Linked DNA regions of Xenopus tropicalis. The protein of the gene in region 1 purifies or fractionates together with the protein of each later gene. This does not show direct contact. Links are inferred from orthologs where the notes say so. Each region holds a gene or a part of one and is shown in the gene's direction. Other genes may lie near its edges.

The links.
Region 2: the proteins of slc30a2 (region 1) and mettl9 purify together in Homo sapiens (co-immunoprecipitation; 3 studies listed by BioGRID and IntAct, with this or other methods). This does not show direct contact. The link is inferred for Xenopus tropicalis from reciprocal best matches to the Homo sapiens genes SLC30A2 and METTL9.

Annotation. Positions count from the first base shown.
Region 1 is NC_030678.2:76,866,299-76,869,945, reverse strand, and holds part of slc30a2 (zinc transporter 2), read left to right. Parts: intron 1-9; coding exon 10-193; intron 194-1,768; coding exon 1,769-1,874; intron 1,875-3,407; coding exon 3,408-3,542; intron 3,543-3,647.
Region 2 is NC_030685.2:25,171,406-25,175,971, forward strand, and holds the end of mettl9 (methyltransferase-like protein 9 precursor), read left to right. Parts: intron 1-3,650; coding exon 3,651-3,853; 3' UTR 3,854-4,358; downstream 4,359-4,566. UniProt on the Homo sapiens protein: Protein-histidine N-methyltransferase that specifically catalyzes 1-methylhistidine (pros-methylhistidine) methylation of target proteins.

The DNA of each region.
Region 1 (3,647 bases):
CCCCTTAAGAATGGGGGTAACTCTTCATCAGACAGGGCATGGACACAGTCACGGAGATGGAAACTCTCATTCTCACTCACATGCTGCTGGAGATCACAAGAATCCTAGTGTTCGCGCTGCTTTTATTCACGTCGTTGGTGATTTATTACAGAGTGTTGGGGTGCTTATTGCTGCCTATGTAATTTATTATAAGGTACGTTTTCCTAGATAACTTTTAAAAACTAGGAATAAAGAGAGGTGTAGGAGTGGTAGTGTGCCCTACCTGTATTGTACCACTTTGTGATAACTTTTAACATAACCACTGCATAGCCAGCTATGGATACATAGCCATATATTCTGTGGCAGGAAGCTTGCCAACTCTTTGATCCTCTCCAGTGTAATGCAGTAAATTTCATTTAATTTTATGGGTTAAGGTGCTTCACCCGTAGCAATGGCCTTTCTAATTGCTATTTCTAGGGTAAGCCTCATCCAGTGCAATGAATTTCTGAAAGCTCTTTGCCAAAACTAAACCGAAACTAAAACCGATCTACAGGTGTTCAATTGCAGCAGGGCAGTTTAGGTGGCCACATGCAGTCCAAAATTAGTTGCGGATTCAGTGACTCCAGATTGATTCAGCATCTTACTGGTTTTGTAGGATATGCCCAACCAATAAAGGGCCAGGAATCGTCCAGCATTTGTTGCTGACTCAGCCACTCCTTCCAGTCTAGAGCTTATTTGCCCCTATGGCAGCCAAAGTCAAAATCTTATTGGCCTTTTGTTGGTTTGAATTTGAACCCAGACAATACCTGTGAGGGGACAGTCTGATATCTGCAACCTTGTTTTCAAAAACAGTTTGGACTCTTTAAATAAAATGTAAATTAAAGGACCCTGGAATGAATTGCAAATTATTTAAACCCTTTATTTAATTGCAAATAGTACAGTGTTTCACAAAGTGGTGTACCCCTCCCCATATTTACTTCTTAGAAAGCCAGACTCTCTGGCTGGTTGTAGGGTTAAATGATTTGCATAATCATTCTCTTTGAATTTATATTTTACAGTGTCCCAGCATTTTTGAAAACAGGGTTGTATTAGAAGGTTTTGTAAATGTTGCAATGCCAAATGAGTTGCTCTTCGCCTAATTTGGCCACCGTCGCTCTGTGCCAAATTGGACTTGTCTGATCATTTGCGCTCCTACTGTGTCCTGTTGGGCAAGCAGTCACATGCTGGTGTGGTTCATGTCCAACAGAACTTTCAGACCTTCTTGATAGGTATTCGGCCTATTTGTAGCCAGATATCTGTGGGCAGCACCTTGGGAGCCCCATCCCTCATGGGTCATCAACTGCCTTCTTGGTCTGGAGAGGCTGAGTTGGCAGCATTTTTTAACTTGTTTATGGCTAGCTTTACCCTCCAGAGACTGCAAATCCATAATGAATATTACTGCTATTTATACACTTCACTGGCCATCCCTGAACAACCTGCCTGTTGAATTCAAACTAAAATTTTAGAGGTTGGCACAATTAAGCATTTAAATTCAAAAAGCCACTATTTCCAACCATTTCTACACCAGCAGAGAAAACCATATGTGGGCCCCTAGCCTTTAGAGTACTCTAGAGCTACACCGGTTCAAGTATTCCCTGTCTCCTTCAGTGACCTGTAGTTAGTAGGGCCTTTTACTTTTCTATTAATCTGTATGGTTTACTGTATAGGATAGTGCTTACTTTTGTTGTTGTAGAATGTTGAATACATTGGTTATATATTTAACAGTTTAAAAATTATTTTGCCTCAACAGCCAGAATATAAAATTATTGATCCTATATGCACATTCCTGTTTTCTGTGCTGGTTCTGATCACAACACTGACCATCCTTAGGGATGTACTTCTAGTCCTTATGGAAGGTAAGTTATAATATATATATATATATATATATATATATATATATATATATATATATATATATATATATATATATATATATATATATATATATATATATATATATATATATATATAATGTGTGTGTGTGTAAATAAACTTTATGGGAATGAGAATTGGTTACTTAAGTTGGTCTGAAAAATGACCAAAGTCCATCAAGTTAAGCCTTTCCAAGTGAACCCAGCACACACAGGCCCATACTAACCTAACTATACACTCACATACATAAACTTTATATACCAACAGTAATAGTAACTGTAGGTTTCAGTATTACAGTAGCCTTGGATATTATGCTTGTTCAAGAAATCATCCAAGCCCCTCTTAAAGGAATTAACAGAATCTGCCATCACAACTCAGAAGGACATTCCACAACCTAACCATGGAAAACCACCTTCAGGGTGGCCTCTGGTGCGCTGATCATTTTTATGGGAAAAAAAGAACACCCTGTCTATAATCCCATCTACTGTAATCATGTCCCCTCGCAATCACCCCTTTTCCAGAGAAACCACCAACCTTGACAGTCTAACCTCATAGTTCAAATCTTCCATCCCCTTTACCAGTTTAGTTGCACGTCTCTGCTCTCTCTCCAGCTCAAAAATATCCTTTAGGACTGAAGCCTAAAACTGTATACTCAAGGTCAGGCCTTGACATTGAACCTCATTTTCCATTTTGCTGCCCAGTTTTCTAATTTTGTCAAATCCTGCATGGAACTTAGTTTTGCACAAGTTAGTGTCATCTGAAGAAATAGAAACAAGACTTTCATTGCCCACCTCAAGGTAACTTATAAACAAGCTAAAAGCAAAGGACCAAGGACTGTCCCCTGCATTACCCTACTAACAGCACTGGTCCAATTAAAAAATGTTCAGTTTACAACCACTCTTTGTAATCTATCCTTCTGCCAGTTCTCTGTCCAATTACACATATTATGTTCCAGGCCAATATCCCTCAATTTTACCATTACCTTTCTGTGTGTTACTGTATCAAATGCTTTAGCAAAGTCCAAGTATATTACATCCACTACGTCCCCAGAGTCAAGGTTCTTGCCTCCTCATAAAAGGCAATTAAATTAGTCTGGCGCATTGTGTAACACAAAACCATGCTGGCATAAAGTCCCAGTATTATGATTTGCAATGTATTTAAGTATCCTACCCCTTATTATGCATTCCAAAAACTTTCCTACCACTGATGCCAGACTAACAGACCTATAGTTTTCAGGCTGAGAATGGGATCCCTTTTTGAATAACGACACCACATTAGCAATTCGCCAGTCTCTCAGCACCATGCCAGACCTCAGTGAATCCTAGAAAATTAAGTGAAGAGGTTTGGCAATCACTAAGCTTGTTTAATAACCTTGGAAGAATAGCACCCAGTCCCAGCTCAGTGCTCTAGGAACCCAAACCCTTTCTTCCTTCACCAAGACTTTAGTGGTTGCAATGCAGTAAATGAGAAGGTTTGTTTGTGTTCTTTTTAACCTATGCTTTTCAATATGTTTTTAGGAACTCCAAAGGGAGTGGATTTTAACCTGGTAAAGGACACTTTGCTTTCGATCGATGGAGTGAAAGCTCTACATAGTCTACATATCTGGGCTCTGACAGTCACCCAGCCTGTGCTTTCTGTTCACATAGCAATCAGTAAGTGGCAGCTCCATCATTGGACTTTAATAAACCTTTTAATTATATTAGGTGCAACCGCAAAGCTGATCCTTTTTTTTTTTTTTTTTCTGTTAAGTGGTTTTG
Region 2 (4,566 bases), on another chromosome or scaffold:
CTTTTAGTTGTATTAACCCTGAAGGCCAAGTTTACTTATTTCCAGCTTGTTGCAATACTGTGGTTGAATTTAATAGCAAGTGCATCACTTGAGATCCCTGGGTGCCCCATTCACCGCCATATTAAGGCCTTGTCCCACCCCCATCTCCCATGCAGCATTGTGATTCATTTAAATCCAGTCAATCAGGAACAGGGAATCCAGGGACATGTGCAAGAGTGGGGGTAGTGACTTCTTATCTGCCCCCATCACCAGCTTGATGGCACTTTGATCATTAAAATGATACTCTGGCCTGCTTATATTTCCTTTAGATGCCATGGAAAGGTCATTTCCTGAGCCGTCCTAGTTCTAGAGTTATTTATGCCCAGCAACATGATAAACATTGGTGAAAGTTTGCTCATTTTCATGAATCTTTGTGTCTCACAGAATTATTTGTACACGAGAGGAACTTGTGGTTTCCATTGTGCAACTGATTTCTGCCAGAAAGCCCCTTTAGTTAAGTACAGCGGGTCCCCATCTGTTGGCATGGAATGGAAATGTGCTCATTATCATTAGTCTTGGGGATTTATTTACTCTCACTGATACATAAGAGACTCTGTTTCACACCTGTATATTAAAATGTTTTGGCGCAAATCTTTCCAAAACCTAAACCTTTTTAATTAACTTTTAGTATGACATAGAAGCTGATATTCCGAGATCATTAGCAAATGATTTTCATTTTTTATTTTTTGTGGTTTTTCATTTATTGAACTTTTTGCTCAGCAGTTCTCCTGTTTGGGTGGGTTGCCAGGGTCTTGTTTACCTTCGCAACCAGGCAGTGGTTTAAATGAGATACTTGAATATGAATACGAGAGCGACTGGATAGACGAGTAACAGTTATAAAAAATTGTAAGCTCACAGAGCAATAGTTTTGTTGGCTGCTGGAGTCAGACCAATTGCAAAGTTGCTAGAAATAAGACCTTCTATAACATAAAACTAGCTTAAAAGTGAACCACTCCCTTTAACAATAGTCTGCAACACAGTGATTGTGAAAGTTGATTCTTTGGTTGCTGATGCTCATCAGGGGCATTATTGTCTTCTGCTTTTCTCTCCCTTAATACTGCAATACTGTCATGGGAAAACACATCAGTGTCCAGCAGAATCCTGCATTGAAATCGTTTTTTTTAAAAGTGCACAGAGATTTTTTGTTTATATTTAACTTTGAAATTTCACATGGGGCTATTATTATTATTATTATTACATTTATTTATAAAGCGCCAACATATTCCGCAGCGCTGTACAATAAGTGGGTTACATACATTGGACATACAGAGTAACATATAAAGCAACCAATAACCGATACAAGAGGTGAAGAGGGCCCTGCCCAAAAGAGCTTACAATCTACAAGGAGAAAGGGTTAAGACACAAGGTGTGGGAATGGGCAAAATCAGAGTTAAGCAATGTGAGAGGCACAGGTTATTGGTTTTAGCAGCACAATGCGGTTATGTTAAATTAAATGAGAGTCATTTGTTTGAATTTTATCCTGGATGGTAGGGGAAGCCAGTGCAGGGATTGGCAGAGCGGCATGGCAGGGATTGGCAGAGTGGCATGGCAGGGATTGGCAGAGAGGCATGGCAGGGATTGGCAGAGAGGCATGGCAGGGATTGGCAGAGCGGCATGGCAGGGATTGGCAGAGTGGCATGGCAGGGATTGGCAGAGTGGCATGGCAGGGATTGGCAGAGAGGCATGGCAGGGATTGGCAGAGCGGCACGGCAGGGATTGGCAGAGCGGCACGGCAGGGATTGGCAGAGCGGCACGGCAGGGATTGGCAGAGCGGCACGGCAGGGATTGGCAGAGCGGCACGGCAGGGATTGGCAGAGCGGCACGGCAGGGATTGGCAGAGCGGCACGGCAGGGATTGGCAGAGCGGCACGGCAGGGATTGGCTGCAGGGGCAGGCAGGGATTGGCAGAGCGGCACGGCAGGGATTGGCAGAGCGGCACGGCAGGGATTGGCAGAGAGGCACGGCAGGGATTGGCAGAGCGGCACGGCAGGGATTGGCAGAGTGGCACGGCAGGGATTGGCAGAGAGGCACGGCAGGGATTGGCAGAGCGGCACGGCAGGGATTGGCAGAGTGGCATGGCAGGGATTGGCAGAGTGGCATGGCAGGGATTGGCAGAGAGGCATGGCAGGGATTGGCAGAGCGGCACGGCAGTGATTGGCAGAGTGGCACGGCAGGGATTGGCAGAGAGGCATGGCAGGGATTGGCAGAGCGGCACGGCAGGGATTGGCAGAGTGGCACGGCAGGGATTGGCAGAGTGGCATGGCAGGGATTGGCAGAGTGGCATGGCAGGGATTGGCAGAGAGGCACGGCAGGGATTGGCAGAGCGGCACGGCAGGGATTGGCAGAGCGGCACGGCAGGGATTGGCAGAGTGGCATGGCAGGGATTGGCAGAGTGGCACGGCAGGGATTGGCAGAGCGGCACGGCAGAGGAGGAGCGGTTGGAGAGGTGTATGAGCCAGGCAGCAGTATTCATTATGGAGAGGGGACAGGCTCTGAAAGGGAAGGCCAATTATTAGAGAGTTACAGTACTCTCTTGGGTATCTCTCTTGGTGGCATCTTGGGCGATAAATGATCATATTTTAAAAATATTTCTTTGGTGAAAGTGACATGATTTGATAAGTGACTGGATATGAGGAGTGAAGGACAGGGCAGAATCAAGGATAACCCCAAGGCACTGGGCCTGGGAAGATGGGGTGATGGTAGAATTGTTAACCTGTATAGATACCTCTGGAACAATGTGGGCGTTGGATGGGGGAAAGAGAACCAATTCCGTCTTAGAGAGGTTTTAGTTTAAGGGAACGTTGGGACATCCAAGTGGAGATAGGGGACAGGCAGGAAGAGACGCGAGTTAGGAGCTCTGGGTTGAGATCAGGAGAGGAAACAAAGAGGTGAGTGTCATCAGCATAAAGGTGGTACTGAAAGCCGAAATAATTGATTAGTTTACCAAGTGAGGAGATATAGAGAGAAAATAGTAAGGGGCCCAGGACAGAGCCTTGGGGAACCCCGACAGAAAGAGGCAAGGGAGAAGGTGAAGCTCCATTGTAAGAGACACAGAAAGATCTATCTGAGAGATAAGATGAAAATCAGGACAAGGCAGTGGAGAGGCTGGAGGAGAAGAGGGTGATCCACAGTGTCAAAAGCAGCTGAGAGATCCAGATGTAATAGTAGCGAGTAGTGGTTTTGGCTTTAGCCGATAAGAGATCATTAGTTGGATTAGAGCAGTTTCTGTGGAGTGTTGTTGTCTAAAGCTAGAATGTAGGGGATCCAGGAGGTTATTGTCAGAGAGGAAAAGTGTCAGTCGGTTGTAAACTAGGCGCTCAAGTAATATTTGCTATGTAAACAGTGTAATTTAGAAATAAAAAGTACACCATAAAAATCATGGCAGTATCCCTTTAAGGCAGTGTCAAACAAAACCTCCATGGCATTGCATTCTGTGTGCACATAACATTCCTCTTTATATTTGCTTTGGGAAATGCCACCCCCTTCATGGCTTTATTGACCTTTTCTGAGCCTGGGATAGCGATCTAGATACATCTAGATAAGATATATTCATGTAATGTAGTATTTACGAAGATAAATCCCAATAATGGTGCCTTTCCTCTGCCTTTCCAGGTGGCAAATGGGAGAAGCCTTCAGAAGTCATGGAAGTGACCGGAACAGTTTGGGAGGAGCAGGTGAACAGCCTCGCCGATGTCTTCCATGTAGCAGGCTTTGCGGTGGAAGCCGTCACCCGACTCCCTTATTTATGCGAAGGAGACATGTACAATGACTACTACGTATTGGACGATGCCGTCTTTGTTCTTCGGCCAATATAGAAGAGCAAGAGAATGGTAGAACGATGGGAGAGCAGTTCATGCTCTTGGACTAAGAGCCACCAAGGAAACCATTCTCTCAGCAAGTCAAATTCAATTCCTCACAGGCCAAAATTGTATGTATTTCCCGCAGGACTTGGTTTGGATACATAAATCTATATGTGCGTGGGTGTGTGTGAGCGTGTTTGTGTGAAATCTTACCCGGGCCGGGGGTGGAGGCAGAGTTGGGGTGCTTATTCTTTTTAACCAACAGTGCTACCTTTCCAAGCAGCGGAGAATTTTAATGCTGCCAATGCCATCGTGCCGCCAGCCGGCCCTGTGACAAATTGACACAGGAACAGGAACGAGAAGGACTTTTCTGATAAAGTACTGATCCTGGCAATAAAGTTTGTCGTATTTAATCAACTGTGAAATATACGTGTTCTTCCATGTGATTTAATAGTCTTGTTTGCCATTTTGAAGCACATCCTTTTTTTTACCATGGCAATAAAAATTGTATCAAATGTAAGGATTAAAGTGCGTTCTTTTTCCTTTTTTTGTATCTCACACTTCTTCAGCCGCAACTAAGTCCCTCACTATATTTAAATGGCAAGTAACACAAACAACACAACACACTGTTCAGGAATATACATATATATTTAGCCCTATACATATATATATTATACAGCCTTCAGAACTGAACTCAGATTACATATCAAGATGTTACTCTTTGTTCT